Caenorhabditis elegans: one gene and its partner. The protein of the gene in region 2 purifies or fractionates together with the protein of the main gene of each other region. This does not show direct contact. Each region holds a gene or a part of one and is shown on either strand. Other genes may lie near its edges.

What was found.
Region 1: the proteins of R10E4.1 (region 2) and hrg-11.4 fractionate together in Caenorhabditis elegans (co-fractionation; one large-scale study listed by BioGRID). This does not show direct contact.

Annotation. Positions count from the first base shown.
Region 1 is NC_003284.9:421,236-429,544, reverse strand, and holds the start of hrg-11.4 (VWFA domain-containing protein), read left to right. Parts: upstream 1-3,909; 5' UTR 3,910-3,919; coding exon 3,920-4,016; intron 4,017-4,355; coding exon 4,356-4,545; intron 4,546-5,476; coding exon 5,477-5,719; intron 5,720-5,816; coding exon 5,817-6,068; intron 6,069-6,322; coding exon 6,323-6,402; intron 6,403-6,449; coding exon 6,450-6,595; intron 6,596-6,853; exon of another isoform or gene 6,854-6,898; coding exon of another isoform or gene 6,899-7,633; intron 7,634-7,686; coding exon of another isoform or gene 7,687-7,821; exon of another isoform or gene 7,822-7,838; intron 7,839-8,309. Other genes in the region: Homeobox protein dve-1, read left to right, coding at 40-202, 253-552, 858-1,005, 1,546-1,724, 1,775-1,858; col-19 (Cuticle collagen 19), read right to left, coding at 6,899-7,633, 7,687-7,821.
Region 2 is NC_003281.10:4,266,746-4,275,375, reverse strand, and holds R10E4.1 (BTB domain-containing protein), read right to left. Parts: upstream 5,120-8,630; 5' UTR 5,106-5,119; coding exon 4,957-5,105; intron 4,749-4,956; coding exon 4,255-4,748; intron 4,210-4,254; coding exon 4,049-4,209; intron 3,453-4,048; coding exon 3,123-3,452; 3' UTR 2,873-3,122; downstream 1-2,872. Other genes in the region: sftb-1 (Splicing factor 3B subunit 1 domain-containing protein), read left to right, coding at 6,110-6,253, 6,326-6,605, 6,652-7,314, 7,367-8,110, 8,161-8,248.

The DNA of each region.
Region 1 (8,309 bases), on a different chromosome or scaffold from region 2:
ACTTTCAGTACACATAATAATGTATGTATTTAATTTCAGCCCAACACAAGTACAAAGATTCAACACTCTTTACGAAATTCCACGTCTTGATAAATGGTTCAAATCCGATGCAAATCCATCTAAACAAAAAATGAACAATTACTTAAGCCAGCTCAATCAGAGTCCGTTCAGAAAGAACAATTCCAAGATCAGCTATCAACAGGTGAATTTAATGCGCCTACATATTACTCCATTAATCAAATGAATTTCCAGATTTGCAATTGGTTCACACAAAAACGCTCGAGTTCCCGTACCTTAGCTCCAGTAGACCTAGTGCAGGTCTCGTCAGCTCAGACAGCGGCGCAGCTGCTCCCGGGATTCCAACTCAACTTGCTCCAGTCCCTGTTTGGAGAACAACGTCAAAAATTTGATTTTTACGACAAACTGGATGAAACCAAGATTGTCGGCGGCTCCGACTCGCCATCTCCAGCCGATGATGAGATTCATAGCAATTCAGATGAAACTATTCAAGATACTTTGTTTTCCATCAATATTAAACCAGAACCGGAAATTGTAAGTTACGTTTGACTGTTTGTGCCATAGTTAGGTTGATTAGCGTTGCTCGTGCTGAAAAGCTTTGAAAAATCACGCTAAAAACGGATTTTCGGCTATTTCGATTCTGATTCACATTAAAGATAACATCTCCCAAATTGCTAAATATTACCGATAAGGTTATAAAGACCTAACACTACGGCCGAAAATCTGAATTTATTCCAAACTGTCAGCGTCGGCTGAGCGCCAATTAAAAATATTTTTCGACACAATTATGGTCCACCTTTAAAAATTATTCATCCCAAAACAAGCAACATTTCCTACAGGATTCAATTGCATCCTCCCCGGATATGGCAAACTCAATGCGCGAATCATTGTCCTCGACCTCCCCAAAGCTTCTCAGCGGGCTCGACCTCGGAGCATTCAGCACCCACTCATCATCCACCAACTCCATGCAAAACGCCAACTCATCAGGTACAACAAAGAGCTTTAAAACAGACAGGCTAACGGAAAAGAGAGGGAGATGGGTTGAACCAAGAACTCATAAATTAGAAGCGAGCACACACACACAAACACACATAGACATACACAAAGTGCGCGAAGACACATAACAAAGGGAGAAATGTGGGGCGTCGAATTTCGCACAGACAACCATTACGATCACTGAGATCTGAGGAAAAAAAAATGAGGCTAGGTATTGTGTTTACAGAAATAAAACAGAAAATCAACTGCAAACTTGATTTTGAGAAATATTCTAGGGATTTTGTACTGGCTCAAACTTATCGAGAAGGTGGCCATGTTCATGATACTCAGTCTGAAAACCTATATTGGTTGCTATCTCTAAAACGCTCTTAGATTGCGTTTGCTATGCATATGAAAAATGACTGCATAAAAATTCTCTATCTTTTCGACAAGAAAACTTTAAGGTGGAATTTTACTTCTATTTTTCGATAAAATCACTGACGCGGAACGTTTGAAAAAATTCAACGATAAAGCAAATAATCTCCGTTTTAGTGTTTTCAGCGGCTCGCTCACGCCTGATGTTCGACCCACTCACCGAGCTACCCGTCCTCGAAAAATGGTTCGAAGAGAATCCTCACCCGACATGGATGCAAATCGATCAGTACACACAATGCTTGAACAACTGCGCTTATCGAGAGAATTATCCGCATATTAGTCAGCACAATGTGAAGGTAATATTCTATATTAATACTGATTACTAGTTATCGAATTCGAATTGCAGATCTGGTTCAAAAATCGACGTGCAAAATGCAAGCGATTGTTGAATGGAATGCAGGAAAAGCTTGAGCAGAAGGTTTTCGTATAAAATTAAAATTTCCAACTTTTTTCAAAATCTTATTATCTTTAATTTCGAAAGAACATTAAGTTTTTCACATCAATAGTTCCTTCTTTAACCGTCATACTGGTGTACCCCTTGAATTCCTGATCTTCAGTGCCCCACAATTTCTCTTCAACGAAGAGCAAAATCACTACTTCATTTTTCATTCCAGCTGTGATTTTTGTCTGTAAGCTACACCTAATCGCTAGCTGTATATCTCGACGCATCTTTCGTTCTGCAAAACTTCTAGTCGCTTCTTGTCTTGTTTAACCTTGATGGGAAATTAAGCCGGCTTTAATTTCCTTCTTTCTTTCAATCAACAATTTCCCATCGCTTTCTTTGTCTCTTTCAATGTTCCACAGATCACATAGTTTTAATGGTTTTTCAATGTTTCCCTTCTTACCGTCACACTACTTTCCAATATTATTCATCTTAATTTTATGTCTACCACTTCCAATATCAATCTTGCCCACCGTTTTCTCAATTTTTTTTGTCAAATTTAAACTTTTCTCTGCTTTTCAGTTGTGCTTCAGCCCTTTATATGCCAAAAACTTTTATTCAGAATTTTGACATACAACCACGTTTATTTCTTTTTATTTGAATGTTTTGAGAAATAAAGTTTTTTTTTTCAGAAAAAAAATTTTACAAAAAATGGTCAATTTTTTATTTAAAAAATTGGCACACAAAAATAAAAACAGACATGATTGTAGGAGAAAATTTTCAGACTTTTCAAGAAATTATAACTTTTAAAAAGCTATTTTTGGAGAAAAAAGCTCCCTATTTTAACAATAAAGTTTTGAGCCATTTCACGCGTGCACCAAAAAAAATGTCTGAGAAAAATGTCAGGGGTACGAGTTGAGTTTTCCTTTTCAAATTTTTTGTAAAAAAATATTCAGAACACTATCTAGAGCGACAAAAAACTTGGTTGGTGAAAACTCGTTCTAAAATCTGGCACTGAAGTTACTTCCTTCCGCTAACAACTTGTCAGGTGCAATCTAAGTTTCGACTAAAAAAAACAATTATTATTTCAAAGCTGGATAATTTATTCGAATTTTCGAAATATTGCAGAACTGAAAAGAAAAGAAGTTTTCCATAAACTTGGATTGTCAGTCAAATCTTGCAAGGACGTACACGTTGTAGGTTTGCCTTGGAAGAGGTCGTCCACTTCAACATGCAGTCCAGTTATACTCACTAGGAAAGTAATTTAACTCACTTTCAGACTTTCAAATTGAATTTATAAGAACTTAAAGCGGGTTTTCATCAAAAAATAACAATGGAATATAAAGAAGTCGATTTGATATTCTCCGAGCACGTTTTCACTGCTTTTGTAACGTTTGCAACTATTACAAATGAGGAAGTTTGCAATTTTGTAATGCTTTTAATAAAGTCTAAAAATAGGCAAAACAATTTAATAAATTTTTTTTTTTAAATATTTCAGAATTTTTGTTCAGCCTAAAACGTCTTAACAATTGCCTCAAAATCTTTTTAAAGCAGTTTTATTTATACTTTTGCGGAAACTTTGCAATAATCCTATAAATAGCATAAATAAACATTTTTTAAAGTGAAAACAAAGTTTCATTGGTGGTTTAAAAAATTTATAAAGCTTTATAGAACGTTGCCAGTGTAATACAACTGTTAAAACATAACTCACTTGAATAAATCACATGAAAAATTGTTTGATTAATAAAAAAACTTGTAAGTAACAAAAAACCTGCAAGTTCTCGACTGTAAAAACAACAGCTGGAAGCAAAGTGGAACGCTTAACCATTTTTATTTCTGTTTCCCACTGTCTTTTCCAGAAGTTCCTGAAATGTAAACATTTTAAACTGAATTTTCACAACACATCAACCTCTGCTCTATTCGAATTCTAGATGAGAACAACTTGCCAATGGAAGAGTATAATCGCATTATCAGTGACAACTAATTTAAGAGCCTCAATTGGATAAACTAACTTTTTCAAACAAAAAAAACCTGATAACAATTTTATTTAGTTTTATTTAATTATTACATTAAGAAATATCTTCTAAATAAAGACGATTTTTCAGTAAAATGCTCAAATTTGTAATTACAAGTATTCTACTACTGCGGGTCTGTAGTGGAGTAAGTATTCCCAATAAAAGTCAACACGGCGAACTAACGAAAAGCTGTAAGTTTAAGTAAAAAACACGTAAAATTGAAAATATTGGCAAAAGTTTGACATATTGAAAAAACACAGCAGGCTTACTTAAAAATGTTTACATCATAAGTTCTGGTCCGAGTCACAACTACACGAAAGGTATTGAGCTCACTTTTGTGCTTCTAGCGGGAATTTTTATTTGATGAATTAAATAACCAACTAAGAACAATTTTTTCAAGAGTGAATTTGGTGGAAACGCCAGTGGATTCTCTTTCTGGCTAGGCCAAGCCAACACATTTAATAGAACCTCTTCAAATCTTTACAGAAAACGTTTTTTGACCAGTTTTAGCCAGAGGGATTAAATTTCAGTGAATTCGAAACTCAAACAACTTGTTGCACTAAATCTATCGGAACCTTCTCAACGGGTTCAACCTACCTTCTCTTCAAGACCGAAACTGTTGGATCAAACCTCTCCAGTGACATGCTACAATAAGTCAATTGATATACTGCCTCATGACGGTACTGCAAAATTTGGTGATTTAGTGGAGAGTGATTTCAGGTATACATTTTTAGTAGGGAATATTGTAGAAAATCGTGGAGTGCTCGGAGATTGCTAACCAGCAGTTCTAAAAATTGAGCCTGTGGGACATTTTCACTCAGTGTTTTCATTAAAATTTAGGAATAGAATCTGGAAAATGTTAATTCTAGTTAAAGGTGGAGTGGCGCCAGTGGGGAAATTTCTTTAAAACACGCCTATGGTACCAAAATGACCGAATATCATGATAAAAAAATGCAAAAATTTTTTCTAATTTTAAAATTTGAAAATTGAAAAAATCTCAGTTTTTGCCTAATTCCGATTTGAGTTTACGCCAATTGGATTTGTTCGATGGAGCGCACTTGCACGTTTTAATTTTAATTTATTGTTATTTTGTCATATTTTTCACCAATTTTCCATGTTTTCAATGTAGTTTTGTCTGAAATTTGACGAAAAAGTCAAAATAAATGCTAATTTTTGATTAAAAAGCTAATTCACAAGCGTGAGTCTGTGAAATCTGTAAATTCAAGTTCGAAATCGTTTAAATGCATGCATTTTCTTTCAAAATAACAATAAATTAAAATTAAAACGTGCAAGTGCGCTCCATCGAACAACTTCAATAGGCGGAAATTCAAATCGGAATTAGGCAAAAACTGAGATTTTTTTCAATTTTCAAAAAATCATATAAAATTTAGAAATTTTTTTTGAATTTTTTAATCATGATATTCGGTTATTTTGGTACCATAGGCGTGTTTTAAAGTACTCGAAAAAAAATACTCGAAAATTGTCAAAAACGTGAAACTTGTTGTTGATAGTAAAATTGCCATTTTTCATTTTTCCGGTTTCTATTTGCGATTTAATAATAATCTAAAACTCTATCTGGATTTTCATTACGTTATTCGAGAACCAATACCAGATTAATAACATGTTTCATAATACATACACATATCTTCAGTGCGACTTGCTCCGACACTTTCACTTTTTACGTCGACAATTTTATCGAAGAGTTCTTTGTAATTATCAATACACTCGACGCCCTCAATCCGCGGGCAACAGTTTATAATCCGATTGGAGGCGAAGTGTCCACATGCAAAGATATCACCACGGACGTCACTCAAACAATTCACCTTATCTGCAACGGAAAGAATGTTCACGGAACTGGAGCGTATACGGTTCAGCTCTCTGCAGATTTGAACAAGTGAGCACACAATTAAAACAAGATGACCCAAATTGTGAAAAAAAAATCAAAAAAAGACTCTTGAAATCTTATCTCATTTAAAAATAAAATCATTCAGACCGTGTATATTTGAAGTCCGAGCTCCAACAAAGCTGACAGTTGATGGTGGGTTTGTAGAGGATGTTCGTGACGATGACGTTCAGAAAGTAATATTTTCCACTGCAAATCAAGGAATATTCCGTTTCCCACTTGAAAATCAGGCAGCATTTTTAGCATTTAAAGTCGAGAGTGAAGAATTTCCAATTCATCCCGATGAGGTGCATCTTTATGTAAACGGCCTATTCGATCAGAAAATGGATTTGAACTTGAGGTGAATGTTTGAGAGTGATAAAAATTTGGAATTGAGTAATTTTTTTCTACATTATTCAATAGAATCAATTTTTCTACATTATTCAATTTTGGATGATCCAAAAAAATTGAAGGAAAGTAAACTTTTTTCTGTTGAAAAAAATACATGTTTATATTGCAGAAGCATTTTTTAATTCAAAAATAAAGCCTGAACATTTAGATTTAACAAAGATGAATCATGAACATAATTGCTTTGGCAGAAAAACCATTTTTCAGATACGGCTGCAGTACCCCTCATATCACTCAACAATCTTATAACTGTACGTCTCAAAACTTGTATCATGCCAAGTTCAGAGGTATTTCTCCTTTCTATTTTCTCCCTTCTCTCATTGTCGGTTTCTAGGATACGATAGTGATGGAAACAGGTTCCAGAGAATCTACGACTTTAGCTGTGACCTAAGTGAAATTACATTCACAACACCTTCCGTGCACGTTTCGACGACGCCAGCAAGGTTTTGTGAAAATGGAGGAATTCTGTATAATGAAACGGTACGTAGGTGGCTTTATTTTCAGGTGGACTGGGGCTGCCCGGCAAAAAAATTTTTTTAACTGGACTATATTTCGAAGGACAATCTTGGTATAATTTTCTATTTTGGTAAATAATTCTAGTAGTTGGTTTTTAGAGTTGGTTTTTAAAAAGTGTTCCAAATTAAAAAAAAAAAGAAATTTGCCAGATTTGAAAAGCTGAAGTATTTTGATTTGCATGTGAAATTGCAATTTAAAAAAAAGTGCAGAAACAGAACACAATTTGGAATGTTCGAAAATTTATAAAAAAGACAGAGAAAGGCAGAATTAAGCCTTGTAAGCTGCACGAGATGGGCATGGACAATATCCAGCATCTGGTCCTGGTGCGGCATCCTCTCCCTTTTGTCCTGGAACTCCATTCTTTCCTGGATGCCCTGGTGGTCCTGGTCTTCCGGCGTTTCCGTTCTTTCCAGCCTCTCCATCGTTTCCTGGTGCTCCTGGATTTCCGGCTGGTCCGGTTTCTCCGCGTGGTCCTTGTGGTCCTGGACGTCCTGGCTGTCCTGGCTTGTACTCGGTTCCTGGTTCTCCACGTGGTCCTGCTGGTCCTGGACGTCCGGCGGCTCCTGGTCTTCCTGCATCTCCCTGTGGTCCTTGCTCTCCTGGTCCTCCAACTGGTCCTGGTGGTCCGCGTCTTCCGTTTCCTCCGGCTGGTCCAGCAGATCCTGGAAGTCCTGATGGTCCTTTTGGTCCTGGACGTCCTGGTGGGCACTTGATGCATCCTCCTGGAATATCGTGGGTGATGGCAACAATAACTCCAGGAGCTCCTGGCTTTCCATCGTCTCCATCGTGTCCTGGATTTCCCTTCTGTCCACCCTCTCCTGGTGGTCCTGGTGGTCCAGCTGGGCAACCCTCGGATTTTGGTCCGCAGTTACATTGCTCGAATCCAGCTTGACGAGCGGTACGGGCTCCGAAGAGAGTCTCAAAGGTTGGTGGAGCATTTGTGTGTCCGGTTGGGTTGATGTGCTTGCTCACCATACGAGCCCAGGTGTCTTGGGTGATAGCCTGAACACAAAGTGAATTGATAACAACACTAACTTCCTTTATGTAAAACTTACTCTAAATTCAACCATACCATCCTGGAACTCAACTTGAAGCTCCTCGATCTCATTGAGAAGGTTTCCGATGGTGTAAAGCGAGGCAAGAACGCACACAAGTACTCCGCAGGATCCAACCACAATGAGCTTGCCCATGTTGATGAACTGATGTCTTTCTAAATGGTGACCGTTTCCTTTTATACTGAAAGTTGCTGAGAAAGCGAAAGTTACACCTTCAAACCTAACCAGTGTAATCTAACCAATTTCATTTTTCTGCCAGGAAAAAAAATGCGTTTTTCATTTGATAGATAATGTGTTTCCAAGAGAGATGGACAATGAAATTTAAGGAGAAATTTCTTCTATCTGTTTTTTTTTCTGGTTGGGGAAATCGGAATTTTTTTGAAAATAAAGACAAAGCGAGTGTTTTTCAACGAATAATGTTCAAAAATGAAGTTCAATAACTAATCTCAAAAATTTTCTTTCGAGAAAAAACTATGAATTATCTGGAGTTTTATTGTTTTTCAAAAATTATATACTCCTTACTTCAAGGATTTGGGCAAATACTAAAATATTACCTAGCTGGGATACTAAAAGAGAAAGGCATAAGTTTGGTTTTAAAATTTATTTCCAAATATTTCTATCCT
Region 2 (8,630 bases):
TAATTTAAAAAGGGCCTTCCTTTTCTAAAACTGCTCGCAATCTATCACTTGAACATTCGGATGCAAATACTAGAAAAATACGATATCTAGGGTTTATTGAATTGCCATGATAGAAATTTCATTATTTTCAATTTATTTCAGCCTTTTTAGTGTGATGAGACTGTGTGGAATACTCGCTGTAAGCTGAAAAACGCGTCGATTCAAATAACCTCATAACGAAGCTCTAACTACAGTACTTCTTTTTTTGAAGGAAGTTAACAAAAGCGTTTACTGAACCGTGTTCTTGTAACAGTGACAGGTAATCCGTTCTCTACTGTGCGGGCTGTTTTCACCTTTTCCCAGTTTTCCACCATTAGCTGCTCAAAATGGATTACTGTAACCGATCTAATTGACCAAACAACAAGATTAAGATTCTTTTCATGTACCTGATGTCACCAGAAAATGACAGATCTATGTATGAATGGGGAATGCTACATTACCACCCCACCACTACCACCAATCGCTCTCACACCAACAAACCACACCACCACTTGATAGGATCAAAAGAATTCCGAGTGAAATAGTATGCAGTGGCACGGAGACACAGACAACGTCGTGTCAACGAAATTCCCGAGGTGTGCAACGGGAGGAAACGGCACCAAGTGGTGGGAAGAAGGAGAAGAAGGGTGCCTTGTAGATAAGATCCTTTTCACGTGAACAACATATGAATTTGTACAGGTGTTCCTTCTCTAAATTGTAGTCAAATGAGTCTCTAGATTACAGGGGTCGGAAGTTTGGATTAGGGGGAGGTGGTTTTTGAGCAAACTTTTCTGAACTTTGAAAAAAAAGTGACCACGTGATTGATAATTTCTCAGCAGCCCATTCCAAAACCTACATTTTATATATTTTTTTTAACGATAAAAAAATCTACCGCAGTCATGGCTGAATGGGCTAGTCATTTATTACAAAATAAATAAAACAGGTTACAAAACTCACAAGCAAACTAAATTTCCAATTGACTTTTGAGGGCATTGGTTTTTTTTCACACGTCTCACTTTTTTCCAGTTTTCAAGTGAGGTAAACAAAAGTGAAAAACTTCAAATATTTCCAGTTCTTTTACGGGAATTTTCCCACCAAGGATCGCTGATAAATTCGTTTCCACAGTTTGATTGTATATTTAATTGGGGATGCGACAACTACAATAAATTTAAAAAAAAAGATTTCTCATAAAAAATAATTTAATGTTGTAAGGTGGCAGGTAAGAGGTATGCATGCAAGCAAGCAGGGGTGAGGCATGCATTCGGTAGACATGAAGTAAGAATGTAGATAGGCATGATGATGATCTGTAAGCAGGTGGGTGTGTGAAAAGTAGGAACATTGGTGGGCACGTAGGCAGTCGTGAACGTGTGTCAGCATGAGATGGACCTGTAGGCAACAACATATGGTATTCATGTGCAAAAGAAGTCAGATAAGAAAATGATGGCTGAATGTTAACTGACTTGTATGCTTTTTTATTAAAATTATGAATGAAGTGACTAGTGTTCATCAGTGTGTTTTCTCATTGAAAACTATTTAACAAAGGCCAAGTCTATCAAAAATCATAAATTTCGACTTGAATATTGGAATATTTCTTATTTCGGTCTAGATTGATTTCGCTATAAAATAGTTGACGAACTTTAGATATTGGGATCTTTATAATGTAAGACAAAAATGGCCCACGTGGATTTTTTTGAAATCAAAGGGAGTGCTCCAAACTACCTCCCACCACACCGTCGTAGGAGACAAGAGAGCCCTGGAGTCGGATAGCAATTTTGATTTATAAAAAAGTTATTTTTAACTTTACGATCGAGCATAATGTTCATTTTGAGTTCTGAAAAAAAATTAGAAGTGTTTTTACAAGTTTTAAAAGACTTAACAGAACATAGTTGTCGACGAAGCTGAAATGCTAGATTCTCCGGTTTTTACAAGTTTTTCCTAATTTGAAATCAATCAGTAGGTATGAGTTCAATAAGAATCCAATAGAAAAACATCCAAAATATTTACACCCTTCATATTCAAAAGAACTGATTTTTAAAGGTTTTGATCGAAACTTCTTTTTTTCTGAAGCATATGGCAAGTTCAAACCTCTTCAATTCTATGAAATTCTCTGTTTCTAAAAAAATAATGCAATTTTTCAGTGTTCGTATTTTTCCAATTAACAATTAAAAACACCAGCAAAAGCTGAAGAGAACCACCCAGTAACATGCATTCAAATTGTTCCTGTGCTCCGTCACGTGCACATCACGGGTCGCTTCAGGTGGGATTTGGCAACGACAAAGACGATTTGGATTAATGAGCAACTGAGCAATCTACACACAAAATGACCATAGCTCAATAACAAACAGACCTCCATCAGATGACGTCATGTCATAAATCTAGTGTACAGTGCACAAAAGAAAGCAGGCGAGATTTGATGACGTGTGACGACGAATCTGCCAATTGCCACGATAATTAGACATATGTAATACTGTCAGGGACTCAAGAAAAAGTGAATATAACTAAAGTTATATTTCCGGTGGCATTTCGGTTCGAGAATGAGTAAAAACTAGGGATATTGGGCCGTTTTTATTTTTGGGAAAGTCTTCGTTTTTTGTGGAAACCAAGTTATTCATAATTTTGGCGAATATCGGGTGCTATCGGGAAACAGTGGGGGAATTATTCGAAATGATTCGGAAAATATTTAACTTTCAGGAAATACGTTAGTCTATCGCTTGAACCTTCTATTGTAGGCAAATTTTCAGGCTTACGTTTTTGCCTACCGTGGATATTGGTTCAATAGTTTTCTTGTAGAAAACATTTTTACAAACCGCTGAGACCATATAAAATCCTTCACATATTCTTCTAGAGTTTATAGATTATTGAGCATTTATTATGAAAGATTAAAAGATGAAAAGCGTAAATGTTACATACAAATGTATCACTAAATTTGAATTATTAAAAATACTTCGAAAGATGCATCATTTTTGGAAATAAATGAAGTGAAAAAGAAAACTATAAAATGGACAGGGAATGATATTTTCGAGTGTATGTGCTTGATTTCAAATTAATGTAATTCAATTGAGATTTCTAGTCATGGAAATGGGGGTAAAGCTTATGATAAAATACTAATGATGGCCGAATACAAGTGGCCGGAAATTTCCATATCTTGGAACATTGTAGCCAGGCTGTGGTGGACGTGGATCCGCATTTCTCAATGGATCAGCAATTCCAAGAAGACGTCCATTTGGTGGATCCTGATCGTCGATTGGATCGATGTTTGCTCGATGAGAATTTACTCCACGACGACGTTCCAACTCTTTTCCACGTCGACTTTGATTCTTTGCCATGTAATCCAAAACAGCAAGTTGTGTCTTCTCAGAAAGATCTCGATAGTATGATTGAAGACGGAATTGAGCTGGTGATTGGGTTACTGCCACGTATTCGACAATAATTCGCTGAAAAATTTAAGATATCAAGACGGGAATATGCAACAAAAGTAAATGGGCTATCACTTATGGTTATCTTAATTTGATGTACTTATATATATTGGATGAGATCTAATTTAAGTTTGGTTATTAAATTAGTTTACTAATTTGGCTGAAACATTTTTGGCAAATTTACAAAGTTGCCCCCCCCCCTCCTTTTAATATGAAAATCCAACTTTTTGATTTGATATAAAATGAATATAGAAATGTAGAAAACTATTCGTTCAATCTGAAAATAATGTTTATTTTTGCTCTAAACTATTTGAAAAGCACTTCAAATACTGCGTTAAAGTTGCCGTTTCCAGTTAAAAAGTTTTTGGCAAATGATAGCTTTCGAGTACTAGTTGAGGTGTTTTTCAAAATTTTAAACTCAAATTAATATTTTTTCCGATGGTACAACCCATTTTCTTCATTTCTATACCAGTTTTTCATTCATTCAATATAATGAATTATAACATTGAAACAAACAGTTTTGTAAGTTTTGCAGAAGATTTGCCGCCCACGCTTGTTGTAGATACCGGGAGCAATTCATAGTAAATTCCCCACAAGTCCACGTTTGAACGTACCAAAACTCTTTGCATCTTATACTTTTCCACGTAAGAGAAACATTTCTCCGTCTTCTTCTGATATTCATGATAATGTGCACACATGAACATCTCACACGCATCCACAATTGGTTGACATTGATAACGATCTGCGAGTTGGAGAAGATAGTCGAGGCTTTTCTCTGCAAATTTGATAATAATTCGATTCTCAAAATTGTGGAACATACTTGTAACAGGTTGTCTGTGTGGATAAATACATCTGAGGAAAGTTATAATCTCACGGAACTTCTCTTTCATCTCATAGATTTCTTTATCTTCACCCAATTCTCCATAGAATAATGCTTTAAAGAATGGAGACATCATTGACAGATATCTTTTATTCACACGAATAAGACGATCTTCAACTTTCAACAAAGCATTCTCTTCTTCTGGTAGAACATCAAAATAGTCGTAGAGCATTCCGAAGTTCATAGTTTTAATGACATTCACTGTGATTTCTACTCTCATACTTCTCAGCTTCTCTCGAACCATATGATCTTGAAGCTTCAATGGACGAAAGTAGACATGATTGGATCCTGTATATCGTCCAGTAAACTTTTCGCTTCTCACAGAGTTTGTAACGTGAGCCCGAATTTCGAATTCAACTTCCGCTGACCAGGTGGCTGGAGTTTTGAAGTAAGCAGCAAAGCATTCGAAGGAATTTGCACGCAACTCAATTTGCCTGACAATTCAGTTTTGTTATGGGATTATATTATTTCTCAGAAGCAACGTTGATCGATTTCCGTGCAAAAATACGGTTTCTCGAAACGACAATAAAGAGTACTGTAGTTTCAACTTCTTAAAAATTATGTTTTTTTTTAACCATAAAGCCAAAATTCAGCGTTTTTTCCAGAAAAGTGAACAATTTATCGTTTAGAAGTAAAACTGACCATTTCATACACTTCAAATGAATCCAATATCTGTAGACTTTGTGCTCCTCGTCTAGGACCAAATCAAGAGTCTTGCTACTCTTAAAATCATCACTTAAATCCACAATATCCACTGGATACTCTTCAGCGGCAGCCTTGTTCGGAGCCATTTTCAGACTTTACCCTGAAATTTTCGATAAGATTTTGTTGGGGAAAAAAGAATCTCATAAAAGGAGAAAAGGCATGAACTGAAAAAGAAGCACGTGGCAGACCGAAAAAAACGGGGAAATCGATAGAAAAGGGTTGTAGGGGCAAGGAGACATCTAAACAACACACATGCTATATGCTGCCCCAGTATTCTGCGTCTCTTCTCTCTCTCTCTCTCTCTATAAGAACGAGAAAGCAAAAACATGATAAAACCACTTAAAAAAATAAGAAAGCTTTTATTTTAAATAAAAATTTAAAAATAAGAACATTTTAGTTATGCTTCAATTTTAAAGTGGCCACAATGTTGGTGAAAAAAAATTAATTTTTAAAAAAGTTCACAATTTTATTGGAAATTTGCTTATAAAGTCGATATACGTCGAAAGAAACACTAAAAAACAACAAAAAACAGAAAAGACCTACTAAAACGAGCAACTCACCATATTCCAAATGAAATGTCAAAACTCTTGAAGTGAACACAATCTTCGATCTTCCTCCACTGATCGGAGAGCGCGCCAGCAGGTGCTGTTGGCGCGCGACCGGTGCATTGACGCGATTCTCGTGCAAAATTTCGAATGCAATTTTCGCCTTTTAAGGGACAGTTTTCAGTTATTTTACGTTTAAAAACTTTTAAATTATTTAAAAAAAAACAACAGAAAAACTTTAAATATTGTTGTCTGTCTGATGTTCATAAAAATTCGTAAGATAATCCATTATTTTTCAAGGGTATTAATATTTTAGTTTCTTGAGTGTATTTCTTTGAATATTGTTCATTGTAAAAGGATTATGGTTTCCATTTCTTTTTAGTGATTTCATTAATAAATTTTTGCAATTGTTTATTACAATTTGAAAATGGTTTCGCGCAAGCTATCGAAGTTTAGGATGTTGTTTTCTAAATCTTTTCTAAAAAAAGTTTTTTTCCTTCCAACTTTAATCTTTCTTCCATATAATCAATATTGATTGTAGATCGATGTCTCGTTCAGGCGAGGCTTATGCGCAGGAGTTGAACCGCAAAAGGGTCGCAAACCAGCGTGCCGCGGCAGCCGAAGACAACGATGAGAATAAGGGAAACGGAAATAAAGTGGCCTTCGGAGCCGCTGGTAATTTCGACACGGTTAGTGAATTCTAATACTTTATTTGAAAATTTGAAAATTCTCTATTACTTTTTGAATCTTTTCAATTTCAGGATGTTTACGGAAGTGTTCGTGGTGAAAATCGGGATAGTTACCTAGACTCGATTGGAACCGGAGAAGAAGATGACGTCGATGAGGATTCGATGCCGAGTGTACAAAAGAAAAGTACAAATTATGCACAGCCACACAAATTCATCGAAGAGGTGGCTGCTGCCTCCGAGGACACTGATCCATTCGCAGATACTCGCACAAAAACCATCGCAGAACGACAATCCAAGTATCACGAAAGAGCTATGAGGAGACAGATCTCTCCAGACAGAGCGGATGCTTTTGGTAAGATCGAAAATCATTTTGACTTTAATTAAATTTATTCTTTCAGTTGATCAAACTCCTGACAATCGGAATCGAGGTTACGCAGAAGTTATGCGTGATCAGATGTACCATGAAGAGAAAGGGCGTGTTGAACGGGAGCTTGCCGATCGAGCAAAAGCTGGAGAGCTTCATGTTACTGGACAGCCAGAGAAAAAGAAAGGAAGATGGGATGCTGAAGCTCCATCAACTGATGCATCTTCTGATAATCTTGGTGCAGCTTCTGCAACTCCATCTCAGGGTTCTGCTCCACGAAAAAGATTAGGATTTTCGAAGATTAGTGCAGATGCAGCAACACCAAGAGCTGCTAGATGGGATGAAACACCGGCTCACTCGACTGGAGCAGCTGATGCAACTCCTTCTGTGGATAAATGGTCAACGACTCCGGCAGCACAGACCCCGAGAAGAAATCGTTGGGATGAAACTCCAAAAGAGAATCTCAATGATGGATCAATGACACCGGGATGGGGAATGGAGACTCCTGCTAGAGGAGGATCAGATGATGTTAAGATTGAGGATACTCCATCCGCATCGAAGCGTCGTTCACGATGGGATCTGACACCATCACAAACTCCGAATGTGGCAGCAGCTACTCCACTTCATTCCGGATTACAGACACCATCATTCACACCGAGCCACCCTTCACAGACTCCAATCGGAGCAATGACTCCAGGTTTATTACAAAATATTGTAATTAATATAAAATTAATATAAAATATATTCAGGTGGAGCAACTCCAATTGGAACGGCAGCAATGGGAATGAAAACACCAGCTCCTCATATGATTCCAATGACACCTGAACAAATGCAAATTTACCGATGGGAGAAGGAAATTGATGACAGAAACCGTCCATTGACTGATGAAGAACTCGATTCACTATTCCCACCTGGCTACAAGGTTCTGGTTCCTCCAATGAACTACATTCCTCTGAGAACACCATCACGGAAGTTGATGGCCACTCCAACTCCAATGGGTGGAGCTGCTGGTGGAGGATTCTTTATGCCTGGAACACCAGATAGAGATGGAATCGGAGAGAAAGGAGTCGGTGGTCTGGTGGATACTCAACCTAAGAATGCAGAATTACCACCTCTAAAGCCAGATGATATGCAATATTTCGATAAGTTGTTGATGGATGTAGATGAGAGTCAACTCACGAAAGAAGAGAAAAATGAACGGGAAATTATGGAGCATTTATTGAAAATCAAAAATGGAACCCCGCCAATGAGAAAGAGCGGATTGAGAAAAATAACAGAAAACGCGCGAAAGTACGGAGCAGGTCCACTTTTCAATCAAATTCTTCCACTTCTCATGTCACCATCGCTGGAGGATCAAGAACGGCATTTGATGGTAAAAGTTATTGATCGAATTCTATACAAATTGGATGATCTCGTCAGACCATATGTGCATAAGATTCTTGTCGTCATTGAGCCACTTCTTATCGATGAGGATTATTATGCAAGAGTTGAAGGTTTGAAAATTTAGAATAAATTTTAAAATTTAAAAATTAAATATTTTCAGGTCGTGAGATCATTTCCAACCTTGCAAAGGCCGCTGGATTGGCAACAATGATTTCTACAATGAGGCCTGATATTGATAATGTTGATGAGTAAGTTTGTCGACAGTTTTGTTGATTTTTCAATTAAACAAACACCAAATATATGGTTGTTCAATTTTCCCTGGAAAACAGTAAAAAAATTGAAGAAATATTAAAAATTAGTTTGAAACTATAGAAAATCTGGCAACTTTTGGCCATTTTTGAGAACTTTCTGAAACGTTCCAGCTGAAATTAATGTTAATTTCAGATTAATCAAGTGATTTTCTATAGGTTTACACTAGTTTTTAATTTAAAAAAGTCCGAAAAGACCGAATTTTTTCAAAAAAAGTTTTAAAAATGTATTTTTTAGATTTTTAAAAATCTCACTATGAAATTCGGTATTTGCGGGTCAGTTTTAATGAATTTAAAGCAGAAAAAACATCACAAAGCTTTT